Linked DNA regions of Oreochromis niloticus. The protein of the gene in region 1 interacts with the protein of each later gene in a pairwise test. Links are inferred from orthologs where the notes say so. Each region holds a gene or a part of one and is shown on either strand. Other genes may lie near its edges.

Evidence for each region.
Region 2: the proteins of waca (region 1) and traf3ip1 interact in a two-hybrid assay, tested with the Homo sapiens proteins (2 studies listed by BioGRID and IntAct). The link is inferred for Oreochromis niloticus from reciprocal best matches to the Homo sapiens genes WAC and TRAF3IP1.
Region 3: the proteins of waca (region 1) and nfe2l2a interact in a two-hybrid assay, tested with the Homo sapiens proteins (2 studies listed by BioGRID and IntAct). The two-hybrid records come from large-scale screens. The link is inferred for Oreochromis niloticus from reciprocal best matches to the Homo sapiens genes WAC and NFE2L2.

Annotation. Positions count from the first base shown.
Region 1 is NC_031974.2:29,243,919-29,252,517, reverse strand, and holds the start of waca (WW domain-containing adapter protein with coiled-coil), read right to left. Parts: upstream 3,180-8,599; 5' UTR 3,086-3,179; coding exon 3,070-3,085; intron 2,869-3,069; coding exon 2,814-2,868; intron 1,430-2,813; exon of another isoform or gene 1,231-1,429; coding exon of another isoform or gene 1,190-1,230; intron 988-1,189; coding exon 957-987; intron 148-956; coding exon 1-147.
Region 2 is NC_031987.2:3,857,265-3,865,499, reverse strand, and holds the start of traf3ip1 (TRAF3-interacting protein 1), read right to left. Parts: upstream 3,137-8,235; 5' UTR 3,110-3,136; coding exon 2,855-3,109; intron 741-2,854; coding exon 672-740; intron 1-671. Other genes in the region: agr1 (anterior gradient 1), read left to right, coding at 4,485-4,584, 4,773-4,836, 5,114-5,166, 5,860-5,936, 6,034-6,097, 6,606-6,689, 7,691-7,740.
Region 3 is NC_031987.2:17,010,826-17,019,392, forward strand, and holds the start of nfe2l2a (nuclear factor erythroid 2-related factor 2a), read right to left. Parts: upstream 3,106-8,567; 5' UTR 2,939-3,105; coding exon 2,903-2,938; intron 1-2,902. Other genes in the region: agps (alkyldihydroxyacetonephosphate synthase, peroxisomal), read left to right, coding at 7,730-7,917.

The DNA.
Region 1 (8,599 bases):
ACTGTGCCCCGTGCTGTCGATGTGCTTGTTTTCAGGGCTGTCAGACCTCCTGAGCATCTTGCAGGGAGGGGTGATGTCTGAAGAGTCTCGCATCTTGTCATGCCGGTGGTCCCCTCCTGGATGGCTCTTGGATGAGTATTTGAGAGTCTGTAAACACAAATCAAATGCCTTACTAAAAACCTCACACTTAAAATAGATCTACGCTTCTGTTATCACCATTAGCAGGTTTCTAAAAGCAGCCATGGTGAGTACAGTCCTCAGCTCTTTAAAGTACTGTCATGTCATTTCATTCATAGTTTCAATGATGCAGAAATTAATTAGCACGAGGAAATACATATGTATAAATTGAGCAGCTTATTTATCGACTTCGCCCCTTCTATAAGCTTATATTTAACAGCCACGTTAATTTAGCCCGTATTTCTGCTCATAACAACGTATGCATGCAAACTAACACATGTTAAATGACGAAGTAAACAACATTTTATCCGACCTACGAGTATTAGCTCGCCATTTCACTTGGCTATCGCAATTTGAATTAGGTAGTGAATACACTGGTTTGCTGTATAAATGTCAAGCACTTTGATATTAAGGAAGCTTAACTGGCTATATCCTTAAAATGACAGATTGCGGTCAGGCCCTAATCGGACTGGCTAGCAAGCAAGCTAACAGTAACAAGCTATCATTAGCTTTCAGCTGTAATAAAACTCGCCCGTACCTTTTCCAAAACAGCCGACTTCGACGAATATGTTCACTCTGTCAAGTCTTTACTAGCAATGCTAACGTTAGGATACATTTACAGGGCTTCAATGGAGGTTTTAAGCAAACCTTTCTACTTTTTGTGTTATTTTCCGCACTGACTGGGGCCTGTTGTGCTCTCCAGAAGCCTGCATTAGAGTGTCCATTTTAATCTTATTTGCTGCTAGCAAGCTAGCAGGAGACGCTTGGCTAACAAGTACCTGATAGGGCTGAGAATCTCTTCGGTCGCACCTGCAAAGAAAAAGGAACCAGTTGTGAATTTTAAGCTTCAAATGTCAATGTTCAGAAATCGGTGAAAGCCCCGCAGCGAGTGAGGGATACAAGTTTCCACACAGTTATTTTGGTTTCAGTAAAAATGGCGGATTGTCAAAGCGTAGCTATGAGGAAAAGGAAAAAAAAATCTGAATAAGTAGGGTTAAAAGGAGGTGTTTACCCATCGCCGAGTCTCGGTTGTTTCCTTGCATACATTACCATCAATGCCGTGTTAGTGTGATTGGAGTGGGATGTGAAAGACTGATAACTGCACTATGTTTTCGTGTTGATTCAGCGACCTGAAATCGCCAGTTATTTTTCAGCCTAGCTTCTGGGTATTGCAATGCTAAATCGGCTGCACTGGTCGAAAGAGCGCCCTCACTCAGTCCATCTCCCACTCTGGCTCACAGCCGTGTCTCTAACAGCCGAGCAAACGTAGCAGAGAAGCTGAGCTGAGACCGGGGTTGCCAGATAGGCCAAATCCACCACTAGGAGCACGCCTTCGTGAAGTCAGAAAATGTTTACCCAGTCATGCTAATAACATTATATGTGTGAGTTTTTGTTGCTCTCTGTCATGTACATATATTTGTTAAGCTCATACTGTTAATTTTACTTTTACATTACCGAATTTGGATATGTAAAACTTACACATAAATGTTTTAATGGCGCATTAAAATCACCTCGTGTGCCAGCACTATGACGTCACTGATAAGTATTTGGAAAAATGACGAGTATACATTAACTTCAATTTTTTTTGCAGACCTGGCAACCTAGCTGCAACCGCTGCAACTACACACACCCCCTTTCTATGGCAACATCCGGGCCACAAAGCGACTGGAGTCCCCTCAAAACTTGCAAAAACGTTAATCTGGGTTGCTGCATCGGATATTTTCTACCCAGAATTTGGATTTGATGCGCGTGGCTCTTGTGGTCCTCCATACTGAATAAACGATTATGAATATAAATATCATGTTTACAGATCTGAGAACCAGTGACTTGTTCTCTCCTGACATCTAGTGGTTGTACTTTGACATCGCAGGTAATATTCATCAAAGCGTCAGCAATCAGTAAAACTGCACTATCTAAAACACGGTTTATGGTATACCACAAACGACTGGGAAGATTTTGAATGACAGACTTTCCTTTGTAAGATTAACAAATGAAACAGGGGCCATTTTTTATTACTGTACTATTCTGCTTTCAGTCAACTTTTTAAAAAATCTGTCTGTTAAAAATTTATGAAAGGGATATAGTAATGATAAAAAAAACAAATCCAAACATAAATATATAAATCCCCAAAGGAATCGTTATGAACTGAATTATAAACGCGTACTACGTTCCCAACACAGAGTTTGACCAGGTTGTATTAAAGTCTGAGTAGCTGTCACAAGGGGGCTGCAGGAGTCCATTGTTCCCAGACAATGCAGCCCACAACATATCCCAAGCCCGAGGACAAAAGAAGCTGCAGTTAAGCATTTTGGCTCACAGTGCAATTTAATGTGGGGACAAGAGGCCACAAACAGGGGGTGTTTCTATTGTTAGCATATTTCAGCAACTTGTTCACACACGCCCAGTGTTGCGTGTGTCCATGTGTATGATGTCTCTGAGCTATATTCAAATTCCATTAATTAATTAATATATTTATTTACGTATTTGTTTATTTGTTTTAAGAATAAAGCAGAAATAAATCAAATCACTTCTGGCCCGTCATTGGGCAGCTTGTTGCTTTCTATCTTAATGTGGCCGGTAGGGGGGAGGTATCACACCACTTTTATGGCTCTAGTACGAAAGGTACAAAAACTCACCTGAACACTAGATTCTGTTGGGTTGTGGTTTTTCTAGTTCTGATTTCTTTTCCAGCTATTTAAAAAAGATACAGATTACAAACTGTTTCACTGAGATCCAGGGAATAAAAACTGGCAAAACATTAGACAAAACATTAACGGCTCGAAGCAAAACAAAACAAAAAAGTCCGACTATGCTACTGTTCGATAAATGAAAATGAATTACTTCACTCCTTATGTCCAGATGAACAGAATCAACCTTTGGAGATTTACTTACCTGGATGATTGAACATGCATCAAGACGTTCACTCCTTATGATTAAATTGGCACAAATAACCTTTGCTTTGGACGCACTTCTGTAAATTTCCCATCTATTTGTCCATGAACATATTTCCTCACCGACCTGATTTTTAATTGTAATTGTGCCTCCTTGCTTACTACGGAAAGGCAAGTTTACAAGGCATTTGTGGATGACGGACAACAAAAACAAGCCAATTAAAATGTAGAATGAATCTCTGGACACGCCTCGATAGAACACTGACCAATGAACGAGCGAATGGGGTTGCCTGAGTGGTGAAAGCCCCGCGCGGCACAGATCTGAGAGCAGCTCTGTGTTGTTGCACGCCCTCCCGCTAACGCTGTGTCTAAATATACAAACCGCTTCCAAGTCAGCCCCTTGACAGAGCACTTTACGATTCTTGGAGAGTGGCACTGTCTGCTGAGGCGTAACGTTTTGAAAGCTCAGCAAACACCGCAGAGAGCGGGGATGAGTTAAGGGGTCTACAAAGGAGAGAACAGACGGTTTTGAAAGTGGGAAACAAAACCAGTGAAAAGTTTTGCCCTCCAAAGAACCAGTGGAGTAGCTACACCGTGGCCATTCAACTCCGAACTCCGAGTGAGTAGAACCATCACGTTATTTATCCTCACAGCTGTCAGAACAATGAAAACAAACTAACATATTTGTATTTAAAATAAAAGCTGCCTTGGATATTGCAGTGGTTCCATGGGGAAATGCGTAAGGCTATAGGTAGCAAGACTAGCCGTGTGACAGTATAGTAGAGGTGGAGTTGCTTTGTATGCGCTAACCTAACAGCGAACTTCAGTTGTTACCAACCTACAAAATATACAAGTGGGACTTGTGCCAAATTTTACACGGTAAAATTGATTTATTCGAAAGAAATGTTAACCTCGTCCCCTTCTTCCGACATTATATGCGCATTGAAATGTGAAATTCTTTCCTAATATCGCCTTTTTAGTAGTAAAATAAAAATTTCACCTGACGGCTTTTCTCGTGTGGGGTTTCCGTGGGGAAGTGAACGCAGCTGTGTTGCAGGGCCCACAACAATGTTTCGAAATGACCGTAATAAGTTGTTATTAGTGATAGCAACATGCACGGCTACATGTACAACCTAATGACACGACACAGGTAGTCCAACCTGGTAAAATACACACAAAGCAAGCATAAATGCAACCTTTCCACAAGCACACACACCTACAATGTAAAGCTCCTTCTCCCTCTATCCACGCCTTGTAGTGTGGACAGAGGGAATACAGAGCCCTTATGCCCTGCGAAGTCAAGTATGGTGACACGGAGCTTGACACTGGCTGACATCGCCAAGCCTCTGACTGGGCTGCCACACCGGGAGACTCAGCACTTGGCCAGCTGCCACCGCCTCCCAGCTCCGCCACTGGTTTTGCATATTTTGAATGTGCATAATCATGATCAGGCAGGTGTGTGTGTGTGTTTTGTCTCACACAATTCCTTCATAATCCTTATTGCTCTGCCTTCATATAATTATAGCTCACACCCTTTGTGCATCTTTACTTAAGAGTGCCTGATAGTCCAGAAGTGAAAGTATCTTCCTATAATGGGTTTCTTGAAGTGGCCAAAAGTCAAAGGGACCCAAGACACCAGTATAATTTGCTGAATTAAGCTGTTGTTTTCAATTCCTCTCATTCCTCTGAGTCACTCATTCCCTTGAAAGTTAAATTCATAACCACTGACTGCAGATGTGGCTGTCATGTAAAAGAGGAAGTGCAGTGATGTTTGGAGGAAACAGTTCATTAAAAAGAAAGCTGGACTTCACTGGCAAACATCCCATTGAATTCAAGGATTTTCCAAATTTAAATCAATGTCTAGGTGGCCTTATTCCAAATAAACCTCTCACTGCTTGCTGGCAGGTAAAGTGCCTGAACTGTGTCCCATCACTCAGTAGTGATTTTGTTCGTATCCTTTTACCACATTGTGGTGCTTTGGCTGAGAGTGAAAAGGAAAAAAAGATGGTAAGAGGATGACCTTCTTTTTCTCATGGTTCACTGCCACTGAGGGGACTTTCTGAAGAGCTGACATTCCTCTGTGTGGTTTAATCTACAGTTTTTTTTGGCCACCTATTGTGCTCTCACTGGGAATAACCCAGTTTTTTTGTTATTGTGTTTTTTTTAAAAATCTGGTCTAGAAAAAGGTAGGAGGCCTTTAGTCTGCATTCCAAATGGGCAGGAAAAGTCTCTCAGGAGACTTTGTAAGTATTTTAGTCAAGTTCATTACTCCAGCTTGTTTTTGAGGTCAGCAGTCGGGCATCATGACAGAGGGTTTCATTAAATCAGGTTTGTCATGGTTAGTGGGTTCAGGTGATGATTGAAGGGGTCAAGGTACAAATGTTTGCATCCTGGAAATTGACTGTACAAATGCCTGCTGCCAGATGATTTTCTTTTGTTTTTTGTGCACATAGTTCTCTGGAGTGTGTATATGGGAGCAGCGGAGGTTAGGGTGGAGTCAAATGCTGTGACTCAGACGAGGCTCCGTGTAGGAGAGTTTGACCCGTGTTGGTTGCCTGAACAGGTGTCTCCGAGCTGCAGCTCCGCATAGCTCGCATTCCCAGGGTTTTGTTCCTGGCGTGGATGGTCACTGAGCTGGGGGAGGGAGATGTGGGAACTAAGAATGCTATGCGTACAAGGCTTAACTCCCAGAATTCACCGTGGCAACCTGCTGACAGAGACAAACGCTTCCTGTCCCTACAGCAGCCTGGTCTATGTTGATGAGAAACCTATCAGCAGCTCAGTGCGGTGCCCACGGCCGGAGACAAAGCTGAGATTTGGTTCGGAACTCCTTGTCAGCAGGGAGGCTATTTTCTTGGAGCTTAAGGGTGGGTGGGATACAGTGGTTTAAGACTCTTAATCCAAGTATTAGTTTGGATTACTATCATCTCTCAGAGTCATGGGAAATTGCCTTGTGTGAAGACAGTTCATTGGAGTTTGCCTGACCACTCTATATCTCTCATGTATCTGTGACTCTCTTGGGTGTCCTGTGGGAGATGCTTCAGGAGAATGGGGTCCTGGGCCTGTTGTTAATGCTGCAGGTTTTTAAGTATCCTGGAATCTTGTTCACAAGTGGGGGAAAGAGTGGACAGATGGATTGGTGCAGCATCTGCATATTCTATTCAGATTTTATGAGGAGAGAGCTGAGCCTTGAAGCAAAGCTGTCAATTTGATTGGTCAGTTTAAAATCTGAGCTTTATCTCTGCCCATGAGCTAATGTTAGCAACTGAAAGACACTTATGCCTGCCTGGACTCACACTTATGGACCCGTTATACCTGTTGTTAGGCTGTGTTGCAACACACATGTCGCCACATTTCTGTAGCAGTTCTACCAGCACTGAGGGCGTGGTTACTTTCTGCAGTATTTTCCTGAACACTAGGTGTCACTACTCAGACAAAACCTTCATGTCAGCGCTGCTGTACAATGAGAATAAGTTAAAACTTGAAGCAAAGTCTCATTTTTTTCAAACTGTTGCAATATTGTCCTCTGTATAATCTGTGAATCCACAAGCTTCTGTACTTGTGGAGCAATAAAATGTTAGTAAAAGCAGCCGCAGAACCTACATGTGCTTACAAAAAACTGAGAGGTGCACGACAGGCTAAAATGACACCAAAATCTAGCTCGCAGCAGCGGATGTTGCATCACCCTTGTCGTACGGCGCCATTTGCGAAGGCAAGGCTGACAAGTTTCCCATCTGAGATAGAATCACAAGGTCAGCGTGTGAGGTGTTTCAGACATGGCCAAAGAGGAAACAGACCCTTGGGCAGAGTCAGGATATACTGTGTCTCTCAGCTGGCTTGGAAACATCTCAGCATCCCCCGAGCAGAAGCCTGGTGTCATGGGAGAAGGAAGTCTGAGCAGCTGTGCTCATACACCAGTCTAAGCACAGCTGTAAGCATTTGACTTGGAAGAGAAACGCTGGGAAAATAAGTTTATTAGTGTTTCACAAATGTTTTCTTCTTAAACACCTCCAAGAATTGCTTATATTTAATATGAAAGCTAATAAATGAAGTCTAATTCAAGCAGTAGGCAGGTGTCCGCTAATTGTGAATCTTTGGAGTACAGTGTGCAGCTCCTCTGGCACTGAAGTGAAGCACAAGACTAAAAAATCCACAGAATCATAAGAAAGACATGGTGTTATTGTAGATTCTTTTAAAAGTCATTGTGTTTCAGCAGTACTGTTCTTCATCAAGCGCTGCGTTCTCTTCGCTCAGGTCTTCAAGCACTGCCTCGTGGCAAACCTACTTTACAGCCAGCCATTTGCTAAACTTGGAATCATATGAAATATGAATACAAGTATGTTGTTTCACTAGCTTAATCCATTTATACAGTCTGAAGCCAGACTGATCAAAATATTTTTACACCTCACATGTAGATTTGTCAAGGGTCTTATAAAGCACATTTTGATCACACATGTTGCAACCCATGTTGTGAAATTGACAGCTGAGAAGTGATGAGATTGTTAAAGCGAGCTTCCAGGAACTAGATCAACGATTCTGACATCAGTGGAAGTGATCCTCTCTGACTCAGTCTGTTCTTACTACATCACTGCTGTTGTTGTAATGATCCAAGCAGCATGTATACTGAGAACAGGTTATCCAATGATGCACCAATCTCTCCATCGATCCATCCATCCATCCATCCATCCACCCACCCACCCCAGTCATTCTTTCATTACACCATTCATCCATGGTCTGTCTATAGTGACAACCTTTCTGTAATCTGTGAGTTTGCAGTGGACTTGTGAGCCTTCTGCCGCTCTGCCAATCCCAGATGGATACATTAAACTGATGTGCTCGTCGGGGTCCCTTGCAGGGGTCATGGTTGATGAGCATTAGTGATGCTGTGTTCTCATGCCCCTCCCTGCCTTGCAGAGGTGTAGAGTTTCTCTCAGTACCACCTAAGCCTCTGCTGTGCTGCGGTGGAATGAGCCCACCTAGCAGATGCCAGCTATCAGACACCGATGGTCAACTGCATCACATTCCAGCCTGTGTACATGAAACGCTGCGCTCACTGTGCAGGCATGCAGCCCTCCTTACTCACTGTGGCCCATTTTTTTGATGGAGAAAACAGAGACTGAATGAATGACAGCACTTAGTGAAAATAAGTGGAGAAAATAATTCTCCTAAGGGAGAATGTCAAGCCATGTGCTACTGTGTAAAGGTCTAAACATGATTAGTAGGAAAGTGATATCTTGTTGTGGGATGCTGTTTTCTTCTCATTTAGGGCTTACGCAATTAAGACATGCACGTGCTTAGTTGCATTCCTGTTCAGCTACATCTCTTACCTAATTTGATTTGCATTTAAAGCCTTTGCGCTAACAGGAATATGTACGGTAAATTCTACATACATGGTTTTCTTTTATAATTAGTTCAAAGACAATGTCGCACAGTCATGTAAAGACATGATGCATGTCTGTAAACTTGTGTGCAGTCAGTGAAGGCTAGACGCAGAAGAGGGTACCCTTAAGTGATGTCAGGCTTATTTGTCA
Region 2 (8,235 bases), on another chromosome or scaffold:
GCCTAAGCCTTATGATTAAGCATTTCACAACAGAGAGCAATGTCTGAATGAGCTTTTACCAAAACTTTACATTTTTGTTTTCTTGTAAGCTGTTCGACTTGAGTCTTAAACGCCTCTGATATCCAGCAAGCTTATTTATTTATAACCATGAAGGGTTTGGAAATGTAAGGTTGGATACTTTTATGTGAGTCTATCAACACGATTCAATAAATTTTAACAGTGTTTAAGTTTAACTCGGATGCTTTACAGTGGCAGATTGCTACTGTGACGATTGGGTCACAAGGAATCAAGTTTTTAAAAACACCATTTATATTAGATTAACTGAGTAGATTCCTCCAGCTGTAGCATCCTCCCATCCAGTTTTAATCTGGGGTCAACTTGCCAACACCAGCCTTGAGTTCTGACACCTTGACATGCTCTCTCTGTCACATACTGGCAGACGTTCCTTCTCAAGAGCGTGTTATACAGACAACGGGTAGGGTAGGGTTACCCCCCCCCCCCCCCCCCCCCCCCCCGCCACACACACACGGTCCTGTGTAATGCCTGGGTGACCTCATAAATGAGCAAGGCTGCTTCTTAGGACATAACACCATTGTATTAAAAAGTTGATTAAAATCGAGGAAAGACTGTAATTAGTCATATTAATAAGCATAGCTGTCAAACAGACGTACCTTTACACTGTCTGACTTCATTTCGGTTTCTTCATACAGGCCTTTCATAAAACCAGTAGTCCTGATGACCTGAAAATGGTGGGAAAAAGGTTGTTTTAAACAGACATGAAACTACAACTATATGCCATTTTTAGCTTCTGTACATCGAGAAGTCCACTCCAAAGTCTGTTTGCATGTATGTGCAGGAATAGTGCTTTTCACCTGTGAGCTAAAAAAAACAATATTTGCTGAGAATTAACCTAAACATTAAAGTAACACAACAACAAAAAAAACATTTATAGATTTAACAGTTTATGTCCTACAGTCATATTCAGACATATTCCTAGTCAGAGGAGGGGAGTCGAACATGCCGACACTCTTCCCTTTATCAAATATGCATGAATCTGGAGTGAAATATAAGACTGCTGAACAGGTGAGAATGAGTTGGCACCTCTGTTGAGAAGAGCGTAACAGATTTTACTCTGCTTGACACCTTATGTAAAAGGAGTCAACTGTGCATATAAAATGCTGAAAAAGAAAATGAAAGAAGCCGCAACTGAGCAAAACAAGTTTGATCATAAAGATCAGCAGTGTATTTACAACAGGACACTGACAACAGACCGTGGAGATGATGCAGTGTTTCCTGTGTGTGTGTATGTGTGTGTTTAAAGAACCATGATACTATAGCAGCAGTTGTACTTACTCAGAATGGATCTTTGGAAGGGTGGCTACAGATAACATTAGAATACATTCATATATCGTCCTGTTATTTCTGACTCTTAATTAAACAGATGGCAGTTAACCTAAAAAAATTAAAAACTGAGAAAGTTTTTTTCCTTTGAGGTTTACTAAAGCCTCTTTTGTTTACACATTAGACATTAGTCTTTTCTTTTAAAATTCCAGCAATCTTAGATTTCATAATGCCAATGATGAGATTTATCTAACTAAGGGAGGGGCAAAACTGTTCTGAGGAGGAAAATCACCTTTACTGTACTTATATTGTTTCCTTTCATCCCATTATACTGCCTGTTACTTCTCTCATGCATGTACTTAAGTACTGGCCTTTATAAAATGGCTTAGAGAAACAGTATTCAATTCAATTCAAGTTTATTTGTGTACTCCAAATTCCCTCATGGCAAGGTTATAACCTACAGTGTTAAAGAACTCCAACAATCAAGTGACCACCTATGATCAAGCACTTTGTGATAGTAGGATGGAGTAACTCCCTTTTAACAGGAATCCTCCAACAGAAGCATGCTCAGGGAGGGGCAGAGGAAAGAGAACAGAAAAGAGCGCATAGGGAGTCAGGACAATAAAAGCGTTTCTATTTTCTGTGTCAGAAGTGCCAGGTGTAATCACAACCTAGACCCATTCTGAACCAGAAAACTTTCACGTAGTACAATTGCTTTTCTAATGCACATAAAATACTAGAGTACGTAGCTGACCCTGATCTGTATCTGCACTTCTCTTCATCTGAGAGTAAAAGCTGCTGTGGGTTACTGAAGAGTCTGAGCTGCCAAGAACTCAGACATTTTACTGTGTTTTACTCTAGGCCACGGAAGACAGATCTTCCTGGCAAACACCAGAAAGACATCGGCTATAACTTCATCATATATGCATGGCTTGCGAGTAGCTTTAAAAAAAATGAAGGGAAATCAAAGAAGAGGCACCAATTATAGCACAGCCTGTGCTTGTTTTTAGCTGTAATCATAAGCTGATCAGCATCTGTGTTCTCAACGTGACGGATTCAAGAACCTAGCACAGGTTCATCCTAGCTGGCAGGTGCCCTCCTTTAAGCCAACAGCGGGGAAAACGGTTTGTTGATTCGTGTGTGGGCTCAGGTCGTGCCTAGCAACAAGACGACGCTGCTGAAACAACTAGCTCACTTGCTAACCCACCACATTAAATAAAGCGCAACCTGTCATTTAAGTGAATTGCTAATGCACCCCTTGACTATCAGGATTAGTGTTACTGACAATCTGAAGTTGCAGAAATTGGAGCTTACAAAATGTTCCGTAATATTCGCGAACCTACTTGGTTAGCTTCCTGCTAACCTTTATGCATTAGCTGGCTAACTAGCTCCTGTGTCTGTGTTTTTAACTTAGAAGTGGCATTAGGCTTGGCTTCTGAGAAGAAGAGTGTCGTGCCCCTTAAATAAAATCCACTTTGCTTTCTCGAGTGTAATGTCAGCAGCTGAGTCTCACCTCACTGAAGATATCGTGCAGGTATCGAAAAGGAGGCTTGCTTAGCAGTTTCTCGGTGAGCGGCGGCTTCTTTATCACTTTGCCCAGCGTGTCCTGGGTCTTTTTCACCACTGCCGCATTCATGGTAGTAAATAAAAAGCCAAGATAAGTACTTTTAATCAAGAACAAATACACGAAACTAACTAAGAGTGAAAAACTTAGTGACTCTGTCGCCTGGTTGCTATGTCTATGTCCTGCAATCCCACAGTGCATCATTAAAAAGGACTGCGCCTGCGCCAAAGGCTTACTGTTGCTAAGCGCTCTCTTTGTGTCCATAGCAACAACTAACAATCGGCTAGATAAATGGCTAGGCTAAGTAGATAGAAAATTCTTTATTATAGCCGCCAAAACAGAACAGCGTGGTTATATAGAGCAACAACTAGATAAAAGCATTCAATATACATACAAAATAAAACAGGGCATTCATAAACTGTAAGTTTTGGAAGCGAGATTATAAAGATGACAGTACTGGGGATTGCAGAGGTGGAAAGAATTATTCCTTTACACTGGACCGAGCTCCGGTATCAGTATTTGCAACAACAGAAATCAATTCGTTTTAGAAAAAATACTCCGCTGCCTGTCCTATAAGTTGTGGAGACAATGGCCAGGATAAAAATAAAAATGGCCTAAAAAAGGGCCATATATCCCTGTCTTTATTCTGGCATGGAGTGGGAGTTTCCTCTATACCAACACGCGGAAGAGTCATAGAAAGAAAGCAGTTTTAGAAACAACTGTACTTTCAGGCTTACACTTTTTAAGAGAACGAAATTTTAAATTAAAATAAAAAGTTATTTTGATTTAGTTAAATTTATTTATTTATTCTCAATCCATAGACTCGAGTTTCATCTAACAGCCCATAAAGGATATATGTTTTTAAACTTACAGAAGGGATAATAGCCAAATTAATGCTAGCTTCCCTATCTGCTGGTGTAATCCCACTACACAGCACAATTGTGCGCATGTGCGTGCTTCTTCTGTTTTTTTAAGCCTATTATGATATACCTGTTTGACAAGTTCGATAGGAAAAAAAAATCTGACAAAAGAGAGCGCACATAGGAGGGTCAGAGCAGATGCTTGTTGCTTCATATTGACGAGGTAAGACATTTACCTGCTACCTGAATATCTTCATTGACTTTTAAAAGTATTATGATTTCTTTCAAATGGTTAGATGCCTGACTAAAAGTTTGAAAAAGGTTTGTAAATTAAGGAACTGGTGGGGGTTTAATTATAATTATTTCAAATTACACTTTTTCACATAAATTCAGACTTGATTTTTTCCCCCCCCTTACAAATACAAGTGTGGTAACTATGTGTAGAATTACCGCTTATAAACCATTTTACTTACATGGTCTCAGGTGGAACCATTAATGAATTCTTGCTTGCTTGCTCCTTTGGCTTCATTGTTACTCTGCATACCGCCTTGTGAATCCTAGTTAGGCGTGTTTGGTGAGTCAGTGCAGCTTTATATATCTGTCAAATGTGAGTCAAGCTAAAACTGATTTGTGTTTTGTATTTAAGTATAAATGTCACTGAATTTCAATGGAACTCATTTGCCAACTTTCACAGCAGCTCTCTGAAAGGACAAGGAACGATGCTTCGCTGGGTCTTGCTTGCTTTGCTCATTGGCCTCTGTGCCAGTGCTGGGGAACAGAAAGCTAAAAAGAAAGTGAAGAGTCAGTCCTTGTCAAGAGGTGGGCAAATCTCCTTTTTTCAATATGCACAGCTCCAGTTAATGTCTAAAGAACCATTGCATAAGATCATTTATAGCTGTCAGACATAATAAAGTCAGAACTTTGCTTGTTTGGGAACATAGTTAATATACTGGCAACATGCAGCAGTTTTGTTGACTTAAAACTGTATTTTTATTTCCTGCCTGCAGGATGGGGAGGTGGTATTAACTGGGCCCAAAATTATGAAGATGGCCTAGCAAAAATGGCCAAAAGGTAGGACTCTAAACCTTGGGTAAAAGTGCTGGATGTCAGTTTATTTTGTTTGGATAAGTCTGTTCCTTTGTTGTGTCTTTCTGCGTTGGAATGATGCTCCATTACTTTTCCATAAGGGAAACACATTATTGCTTTAATCTTCATCTGTCTCTAAATCCAGCACGGGGACTTTGCTTTCTAAGGCATTTGGTTGTGTAAGACTGCCTTCACACCCTTCACTGTGTTTATTGTGTTTTGGAATGTACTGAGTTCTTTCTCTGTGGTTTTGCTCTCACAGTCAGAAACCTCTCATGGTCATTCATCATAAAGACAACTGCCCACACAGTAAAGGTACTGCTGCTACTTTGGTTTATTAAGTATACATATATATTAAAAAATATAGGCTTGCACCTCCTGCGCTGTCTTTCTCACCCAGACTTGGGCTTGTTTGTTTTCACGGGGAACACAATGGGTGCATTCTGTAATACCCACAAAGCAGGCAGTGAAGTATGTGAGAGTTATGTTCATAAATCACTCAGCTGGTTTTGTGAAATAAGCTCAGTGGAAGTCTCCACTGGCATTTCTTAACCCATAAACAATGACGACCACCTACAGAGTGAAGTCTGGCTCTAAATTTTGAGTTTTGCTAGGGTGGACCAAAAGCAGCCCGTTCTGCATCCTCCCTCTGAAAGTCTCAGAATACTGAAGCATTTCGTTTGATTGCAGCAAGTTGCATATATTTTTTTATTAGTAATGTGTCCTCATTTTAACAAGACAGGATTCATATATTTATAGTGTGTTGTGTATTCCCTTACGTGAATGCTCAACACAGATATTCTAAAGGTCCAACCTGCCAGACTTGTTTCTGACCTGTTAGGCAAGTTTATAAATGCAGTCTGTAATAACTCAACAGGCTTTACCTCCTTCTGACATTTTCTAGGCAGAATACATTTATTAATATTTCCAGATCATATAATTCATAATTCATTCATAATTATTTGAGAGCCAGTCTAAATATAATACTAAACCAAAGTATTTCAACAGACCTGAAGAAGGCATTTGTTGCGGATAAGACTATCCAGAAAATGGCAAAAGAGGATTTCATCATGCTCAACGTGGTGGTAATTAAAGATATGTTATATATGCAGAATATATATATATATAATTATTTTATTATTAAAATCATGTGCATCATGTGTACTATATTGTTATACACAGGAAGAGACTTCGGACAAGAATCTGGCACCTGACGGTTACTATGTTCCCAGAATCCTCTTTGTTGGTAAATTCTTACATTATTAATATAATTTCAATATAGAAGAACAGATTGTTTACTTTCCTTGTCTGAGGTTGAACAGAGATACATGCATAGCACAGAATAAAACCATTTAAACCAGGCTTTAAATACAAACAGCACCCCTTCATGCTGGAGTCTCTGTAATGCACGGTGAGCCAGTGAAAGGCCACTAACACTAACACTGGAGTACTTCTCCTTCTTGTCCCTTCAGTTATCTGGCTGCAGCATTTCAAAGTAATTGTAAATGAGCACGAGATGACTGACTAACTGCAGTCTACAGTGCATTACAGATGTCCAGTCTAGATGTAACAAAAGCATGCATAACCCTGCCAGATCTAATGGTTTGGATAGTCCCAAGGTTCTTTTTGCTTTCTCACTCATTGTTTTAGATAATGAATTTTACAGAACCACATTCAGTTTACAAAATGCACATCAGCTGTCACATAATACTGATTACTTTTCTGAGCTGTTCATGTGTGTGGTTTTTCTACAGATCCAACCATGACTGTGCGCACAGACATTACAGGAAAGTACAGCAACCACCTCTACACCTACACAGCGAGTGACATCCAGGACCGTGAGTGACTGTTCACTCTCTCTAATGACAGTTTGCACAGCTCACCTGTCAGCAGACTGCAGACACACTAATCCCCCACAGCTTGAATCCCTGTATCCCTTCCTCAATATTTTGACAGAAATGACTAAGTTTTTTTATGAGATTGTTCTGACAGAAAGAATTTTGAGCTCCGTGTGGATGTTAGTGAGAAACTTTAGCAGACTTGTAGCACTAGTAGCCAAACAGGTGGGAGTTTTGCAAATGCAGTGCAAAGACGAAGAGTTAATTTTTTAGGAGGAAAAGAGAAGGCAAGTGAGGTATGTGACACTGTTTCTTCCTGATATATAATCATTAAATCATGGCTTTGGAAACTAAAAGCACAATTAACACACTTGAAGCACCAGCATTCATTATGTGTTTGCTGATTACTGTTGTGTCACTGTAAATCATTCAGGGAGTTATTCTAGGTCCAAACCTTGTGGTTGTTGGTCCCAGAGACATTTGTCTTTAATATATTTAAAATCTAAACACAATAAGAGTCATCCATCAGAGTTGGCTAGAGTGTATCCCATCTGGCTACATCCTGGACAGGTTGCAGGGCTAACACAGAGACACAGACAACCTTTCACACTCACATTCATACCTATGGGTAATTTAGAATCACCAGTTAACCTAACCCTTTGGACTGTACCTAGTGAGAACATGTAAGCTGCACACAGAAAGGCCCCAGCCAGGCGATGGAGTGAGTGTGAGGCAACAGTGGCAACGATGCCACCGTGCCCTGCCAATAACCTTAAAAAACTTCAAACAAGATATATTTAAAAAGCACAAAGTAAATCTCCCATCTCTTAAACAAACCCCATAAGAAAAAAAAATATTTAAAACAAGAAGTTGAAGCCATTAAATGTGTAGTAATGGAAAAGTAGCACCTGCAGCTTAGGTTTAGGTTTCATTTCTGAACTACTTCACTCATGTAAGAGCGCTGCAGGCCTTGCTCTTATTTGTCCCTTCTTTGTCCACAGTGGCCGACAACATGAAGAAAGCCAAAGTCCTGCTGCACAGCGAACTCTAACGTGGTGCCTGACGTCTCAGCATCTTCCACACATGACTGCTCAGTGGCCAGAACTGAATTATTTAAATGTTTTTGGTGCTCATTAAAACCAAAATAAAGGAAAAGAAAGCCATCTTCAGTTTTTCTCACTTTAATGCAACACTTAATATATAATTAAACTACTCATTAAAAACACAGTGATAATGCTTATTTAGAACTGTTTATGATGGTATTGTTCCATAAGAAGATGATTAGGCAGTGTTGAGCTGTGTTGTTGTTGTGACTTTTAATTTGAAAGTGAATATTACATCAGAGCAAAAGAACTCAGTGAGAATCACTAGAAAACATAGTGTTGATTATTTAGTATTATTTATGTGTGATAAAACCACAGATATCAAAAAATGTGGTGTAAACAAAATAAAGCATCCTGCCTTGTATCAAAGGTTCATGGTACTGGTGGTGGTGTAATGATGTGGGGAAATGTTCTTAACCCCTTAGAACCAGCTGAGCATTGTT
Region 3 (8,567 bases), on another chromosome or scaffold:
GCAAAACAGAACGTCCCTGCTGCGAAGCGTGACTGTTGCACCTGCCACACCCTGTCCCTCAGTATCTGATCACCGACAACAACACAGGCACTAATGTCAAGGGACAGAAACTGCATGAATAATGGACGCATTTCTCTCCTTCCTCTGTTGTCACCACACACCAGCAAAAGACACATATCCTCATTTGATACTTTTTCCAGTGAAGGGAAGTAGTCACAGCTTATCCAGTTACGCAGAAGTGTGAATTTGTTTGTCGTATTCAGACTCGCACACAGTCAGGGATCGTTTTTTAGCTAGTACTTGAAGTTCAGATTCAAGTAAGTTCACACATATTACACCATTTAGAAAATGTGGCCATTAAATGTATGTGTTTAGGTGGTTTAAGTATACAGTATTATGGTTGGTGAAGAACATATAAACATATAAACAAAGAACAGTAAAACTGGCACTGTAATTCGTCACTTATGATTATGCGGTAAATCTATAATGGTGTTGCATTTATACCTGGGTGTATATGGCAACGGCTGTATTGATGGCAACCTATAGCTACATTTCTTTGAAGGCGCTCCGGTTACGGCAAAGGCTACAGCGTAAGGTTTCAGAAAGGTCTGCGGTTACAACCTACCTTTGTACCTAATCATATTATGAGGTCATAGATGTCATACTGAGTGAAATTAAAATGCTTATTTCCTCAATTTCACCCTCACTAGGTATTTAAGTGAACTATTACAAGTACTACTAAATTATCTGAGCACAACAATAGTCTTGTCCTACATATATTTACACATTAGGCAGAGCATGTGATGACATTTTAGTACCATTTCCTGTAGATTTCCCCTAAGCTGCTGATTGTTATTTGCCTTTTTAAACAAGAATGTCTGAAGATAAATTATGCTGGCCCCTTCTCTGGGCTTTTAGCAGAATTTATTTACAGAAGGAAAGTGTTTCACAAGGCCCAAGGATGTTACATAAACCCGCGATACTGGTTTACACAAAAAAAAACTCTGAGCATGTGACTTGTTTGTTCCTCAGATTTGGGTGTAAACATTACTTATGAGCTTGGGTTTATAATACAAAAAAAAAAGAGAGAGAGAGCCTAGAGAAAACCAAGAGGGAACTGAGGGAGAATAAAGAACAAAGCAGAACAATGTACAATAAGGAGGATGTGGAACTGTTTAGAAAAACCCTGTCAGATAATGTTTTCTTCACTTGTTTTTTTGTTTTTTTTTTAATAAAAACAGGATGAGTCACAAGCCTCTGCAAACTAATAATAATGGCATATGGGCATCTATAAATACTTTAAGCCATTGTTGACACCATTTTCCTGACTACAGCTGTGGTGCTGAAGAAAAAAAAAAGAACCCACTAACCCTCTTTGCCTCTGTGTTGCATCAGAGGTATGACCACTAAAGGATTACACATTACTAAGGCTGCTCGCTGGTTGGAAGGTGAGCACACAACTAGACATTATGGTTTGTACAGGAATGAGGAAGTCCCTTAAAATGTCTGTGTGGGATGTCTAAACTCACTTCTTGAGGTTGCTGATGTTTTCTAACAAACAAAAAAAGAAGAAAAGAAAGAAAAAAGAAAAAAACACTCTTGTCTGTTGGTCACACCTAATAAGCTCATCAGACAAGTCACACCAGTCCTTTAGAAAAAACAACCACCGCAAGGCCAAAAAACAGCCTGTTGTCAGTCAGTGATTTCAGTGTGGTTGTTAAATTAGCCTGTTGTTATAATGCAGCTTTATAAACAGCACATTCTGTATTAATGACAACTGGGCTCTGTGAGTGTGGGCGTGCTTAAGTAATGGTGTCACTATCACCTGTCAGAAGACATGGACTGGCACCAGAACAAGAGAGGAAAAAAAGGCTGAGAAAACTACTTCCTGCACCTTGATGCCAGACAACAAGTGTATACCAGTCAAAGAAGCTTTCACACACAGAGCCTTCAGAACGACAGTTACCAGAGATACATATTAAACCTAACAACAATCCTTTAGTGTTGGTTGTTCATTTACTTATTTACGGTTAAACCCCAGGGCCCGAAAGAGGGACCAGAACCTGCTGTTGTATCATGCCTTTCCTCAACACCATTCAGTGGACATCCAATCTCAACTGTGGATGATGAAACACAGCTGCACAGCCATTTGGGCCCTCATCAGTCAACTCTGTACTTCCACTGACCCTTACCTATGACAAGCTTAGCGAAACACTGAAGATCCGAGGGCATGTCACAGGAAAAAATAAAGTTCAACCAAGTTCAGTGTTTTCATTCACTGTATAAAACAGCTAGGAAAACAGGTCTAGTCTAATAGTTGGTCCTTTTTTATTAACTCTGTAAAACACGCAGCAAAGACATAGGCAGCAGTAAAAGAAATCATTCATGGTGGTTATAAAAGCTATCAGATATGGGATCACATGCTTTGAGGAGGAGGGCGGGGTGGACAGGGGGAGATGATGACACAGTTACGGCAAAAGCTTCAACAGAGTCCAGGTTCTGTTTGTCTAACTTGCCAAGATAAAAAGAACCTGTTATTTTATTTGGGCAATTGATCACAACACTAATATCTGAACCTGTTCTGTTAATGGGGACTTTTTTCCTGTCCAGGAAAAGCGTCACTAGTGGATGACTTGCAGAACTGAAAGAGAGTTAACATGTCTAACTCTAAGACAGCCTGTCGGCGTAGTCTACCTCACACTTTTAACGCTATAACGTCTGTAACACCGGCGTAAATACACTAGTACTGTAATTTAGCTGTAATTTATGATAACTGATAAATAAAAGTTTAAATAAAGTCTATCTCTCTAATAGCCCGCATTAAAAAAGGAAGTTGACAGTCAATGTCAGATAGTTTGTCTACTCTTTTCTAGCGATCACTTTTGAGAAATACTCTATTTACCTGTTGACCGGAATGCATCACCTCCATTTCCATCATTATGGAGCTCTGTCGTGAGGTTTTGAAAAAAAAAAAAAACTCCTTATGACTGAAAAATTTGTGTGTTATTCCTTAAAATTGGATATAAAAATGGCGAGCGGTCTGGAGGCGATATAGTCCGTCACGGGAGCTGAGCGGCGAGAAGTGCTGCTTCCTCCAAACCTAATGAGCATTACGGAAATGATGGCCCTCCCCACCGGGATCGTCCCCCTCGCGGTGGCCTATGAGGGCTGGCGATAAGGACTGTGTGTGCATGCGCATGGAGTCCATTTAACACAATAGTTGCCACGCAAAAAAAATTACACAATATATTTATGTGAAAGTTAAAGGTTTTATGATACTTTAACCAATACGTAAATTGCAACATGTAATACCTTCGTTTATAGTCAGCGTTATATAAGCCAGCTCATAAAAGAAATATATATAATGTGTACCTTCTATTTTAACTCCGTCACGGACATGACCAGACTTTGTTTGGTGCATACCTCCCCCTGCTGGTGACCGTGACCGGCGTGGAGCTGGAGACCCTGGGGCCCTGATGTTCCTTGTGCAGCTGGGTAGACCATCACAGAATCATAAAGAGAGAAACAGAACACCCAGTTTAAAGTTACAGTCCTGCATTTAAAGTTTTACTTTGAAGCTCAGACCTGTTCGCGGCAAAATACCAATATGTGTTAAAAGCCCCAGTGCAGAATGACCTCTGTTAGGTTTTGTTTGTTTGTTTATTTGTCTGTTTGTTTTTGGAAGGGAGGTAGGCGCATAAGAGATACTAGTTCAAATGGGTGGAACTATTACTAACATCTTTTGGGAGGAGGTTGAGGGTGTGGGAGTCAGACTCTGCCATAATTCACTGGGTGTTCTAATTGGAAAATCTTCATCTGTCAAGTAATGAATCATTACAGTGGGTTAACTAAATGTGCTACAAGCTAAATTATTCCCTGTTACACTATTTCTCATAAAATTAAACAAAACTGACGTAATGATCTAAAACGTCTAAGTAAGGAATCTCAAAGATTTGCAGATCTGTAACTCCTTTCCATTATCGATATATATGTTTGTTTTATGTAGTGGAGAAAAAAATATTAAAATTTTAACCATTATAATGCAGTAAAGGCTATTCTTCAGAACTGGTACATATATGAAGTTACTGTAGAGTGTAGAGTGTAGAAAAGTTGCTTAGGTTATATTAATATTGTTATTATTTAGCCAAAAGTTGCTAAGCTTACCGAAATACTGCACATTTCAGTACATTTTGTAAGGAAATATGCAGGTTTTTACTCGATTTACTGGGCAATTACCATATTATAGTATATATTGCAGTAGTTTTTAAGCATTTTATGCTATTTAGTACTTCTACGATAGATAGATAGATAGATAGATAGATAGATAGATAGATAGATAGATAGATAGATAGATAGATAGATAGCCACTAGTTAATCAATAGTAGTAATAGTATAATATCCTAAACCATAAGGATATTGGATCACTCTGGGTCATATTGCTGTGTTTTATAGCAGCGTTTTATTAAGGTACAGTCTAATAATTTCTTTCACCACATGTGCTGTAGATTATTAACATTAATAACAACATGAAACATTGATCCACCTTGACAAACTAGAACATTAAAATACTATTTTAACAGCAAATTATATCCATTAACAAGTTAAGAGTATGAAAGAGGACATTCTCCATAAGCACTACTTTTCATTCAGCTAAATGTTGTTGGTAATTCCTCGGACCTTTCCAAAAATTGGAATGTGGGTTATGATTTATTATTACTTTTCCACTTCCTAAGTAGGCTAAAGGATATAAATCTTCTCTCCACACTGGTGGAGAGCACAGGTATGTAATAAACGTTGTAGCAGTCGATCTGAGATTCGCCCATTTAAGAAAATTAAGAGGAGGATAACCCAAAGAAAAACCCTCATTCTTAATCACATTTGAATCATTCTGAAACCTCGGCGTTAGTAAGAATTCGAAACCGAGGTGCCATTAAGTGGCTTTTCAGATATGCCCGTGTAATAAGACAGGCTTGTTCCCGGTTGTAGCACCCATCTGTGAGGCGTCTCGCACTAAAGTGCAGCTCGCTGTGCCACTGCGTGAAATTACACTAAAAAAGCCTATTTTTGCCTCTCGTGCGCGCTCCTGAATACGCGTTCACGTTTGGCAGCTCCACGTCGACATTCTTCCAGCTGCATATAGTGAACTGCACAGCACTGGGGGAAGAAAAGGTAAAAGCGGCGGCGGCCACCTTACGATTAGAGCGCTGCAAGTCCGCCGATGGACATCAACTGCAGTGAAAACAGGCGTTTGCAATGTGAATCTATCCGTGGCGTGCAAAGTCCTCAGTTCGCTTTCATCTTTTGCGTTTTATGATCTAGACTGTTTTCCCCTCGTGTTGGATTGCAGCTGGTCCCTTGTGTCTACCTATATCAGGTACAGTATGACTTGCAAAGCTCACTTTGCCTTTAAAATCGTACTTCTTAAAGAAATAATCGTTAAGATTCCGGTTGACACGTTGCAGTGTTGATTTTGAACGTTATTTCTGCACTTCTGAAGTTGCTGTCATTTGGTTGCTGATGAAGTGCCAAGTTTCCAACTACATTCAAACTGTTAGAACTCAATACTCCTGGAGCTCAGCTGGCCTTCTGAACTTTCCTCATTGCTATCATATCACTCTTTTGTAAATGGGTTATTCTCAAGGGCCTGTTTAATTCAGAAAGTTGTTAAAGCTCAACAGGTAGTCATTTATGCCCTGTGGTACTTGAAGTGAAGTAATCCTTTCAAAAAGGTAGCAGCAAGACTGTAAAACTTAAAATATGCCAGCCAGCGTAGACTTAAAATGTAACCTTTGCAAGCAACCAGATGGGCAAGACTAAAGAGGTAAGTAAATACACTCAAGAACCATTTTTGAGGAGGGTGTACTGCAGGATCAACTTTTGCACACACCCAAATATTATTTAGGTCTTTAATCATTTCTGTATTGCTAGCAGCGTGTAAAAAGACACCACCTGGCCTGCTATATACCTGTGTGACTCTAGGGAGGAACCACCAAACAGCTCGCCTTTCTTCAGGCCCGTCCTTAACACATTTAGATCTTAGCTCTGCCTTTTTGAGCTGTTTTCTGTTATATTTTTTTAGTGGAGTCAGTATAGTGAAAATTAAAAAAAAGATAATACAACATGGCTGTCTTGTTTTCCCTTGCTTTTGTGCCTTGCTGCAGGTTGAAGGAGCACCCAGTCATGAGGAGGATAAGGTTCCACACAAGGACAAACCTATGAGGTGGCACTGTGGCTTTCCAAATAAAGTTCTGTGATACACTTAGACTCTAACTGCCCGCAGTCAGTGCATTACAGAACTTTGTTTTGGAAGTTAATACTTTAACCATTTGGAAATAAAACCTCAAACATCTGGACATTTTAGTTTACAGAATGTCTCATTGTTTCTGTTGGCAAATGTTGTCTAAAATAAAGTTTCTATTTTAATCCATTTTTTACAGTCTCTTTCCTTCAGTACTTTAATCCTGATTGAATTGTACTTCACAATAATGTTGCTTGTGGTGTATTTGCTGTCGTTTTGTGTCAAATCATTACTTTAAAAGCAGCCATGTGGACCATATGGAAGTGGTAGTCACGCTGGTCAGGTGACTGAGTGGAGGTGAAGCAGAAAGGTAAACAGTGTTGACTGTTTCAAGTTACTCTGTTTTTACAACCACATCAAAAAAAAGTGCACACATGAGCAATTTTGACCAGGTGACGATGCAGCTGTAGTAAAGGTAAATCATTACAGATGTTCTAGGATTAGTTTACATTTTTAAATTTGGATTCGTCCTACATATATCTGGCTAAAAATGAGACAATTAAAAAATTCTGATACTTAACTTACAGACTTGCTGAATTGTATGTTTCCACTGTTCACTTTCATGCATTTGTGTCAAAATGGTGTTTAATGTAGGGTATAAGTGATTCTTTATAAATCCGATAAACTCTTTAATATTCCAAACAGAAGGGTTACCGTTGTTTTATATAATTTACTAATTGCATTTACTATCTTAGGCACAGACTGTATACTGGGCTAAGCCATATAAAAGATGTCTCAGCAGTAAGTGGAACATATGCAACCAGCCCTTTACAGTCTATGCTAATGTTGCAATGCATGCTGGGAAACGCGTTAAATGGTGCATTCAAACGCTTCTCGTTAACTCCTTTCAGAATGAAATGGGAGCATTGCATTGATGTCAACGGTTCGTTTAAAGGTTGATTAATAAAATAAATACATAAAATATTGTCATTCACTTATTTATAGTATGAAACTTATGGAGATTGTAGGCACAAGTACAATCCCGATCACCTACAACCGTGAACAGTTTTCTTTTCTTGGGTCCTAAAATGCGGAAAATCCTTAATCTATGTTAATCTATGTTCCAAAAGATAAACGTCTAAACGTCTAAAACATCTTTAAAAACGCAAAATGCTTAAATTGAGAAGCTAGAACCTGTCCAAGTTTAAATATCTTCAAAATAACCTTAAATAATGCTCTGACCTATGCTTTTCTTAATCGACTTACCGTTTTCAGGTATAAACTAGCCCAGTGTCTGATAACAATTTAATGTACCCAAAATAACAACATTTATTTTATATTGTATGCTTTAAAATCCTAACATTACATTTAACACTCGCGTGTGGGGGTTTGTTATTTCCTACAGGCATTGAATGTGCCACACTTTCCCTGCTCTGACCTCTGACAGGAGCTCGCGGATCTGCTCCCTCCCTGTACAAACACGGAAGCAGCATGGCGTCCAACAGCAGCGGCAGCGATAGCTCTGACAGGCAACGCATTGCACAGCAAAGACTGAGTGTAATTGCCGGGCATTTACAGAGACCGGTGGAGGGTAACTCGGGCATCCTAGCCGCGGAGTGCAAAGCCCAGGGAGACAAGCTAGATGTCTCCAGCGAGCGGAGGACTGTGCCGAGGAGGAGGTACGAGGCTGTGATGGAGCGGTGGACGAGGGGGGCTTATCCGCTGTGGTTTTGGGTACTTTTTAAGTCAAACTTAAGTGCATTACCAGCTAAACATGAGGCATTTGGGTGGCGTGCAGCGGTAGGCTGGTTGCTGTCTCCCCACTAGACATAAATATCTGTTAGAGACGTAGCTGAAGCGGAGTTTGGTTAGCTTCATAGCTAACGTTTCTAGGCTACAGAGCAGCCATTCATTTGCTAAGGGGTGGGTGCGGCTAACTGTAGGAGTATTGAAGAAGTCGACTTTCTCAAAGTTTGCCAGCTGTAACTCTCATCCACTCTCGAAGTACACTCTTTTATTTGTTATGTAACTATGTTTCCTTTCAGTGAGGTCCTTAGTGTTTGATTAATCCGATTTGACATTCATTAACTGTTACTGAGCTGTCCGATTTAATGGGGTTGATAAGCGGTTCTCCTTTTTGGAGTTGACCCGTTAGCAGGTTCACCAAAATTTTGTCTCTTGTGAGAAGACATCTTAGGTAAAATAGTAAAGTAGCCTGTAGCTAAAGTGCAACAACAGTCAGAGGAGACAGAGAAACTTCTGTCTCCTCCGTTGCTCTGATTGGTCAGGACAAGTGGTGGTCTGACTTTCAACCTATTAGCAGCCTAGT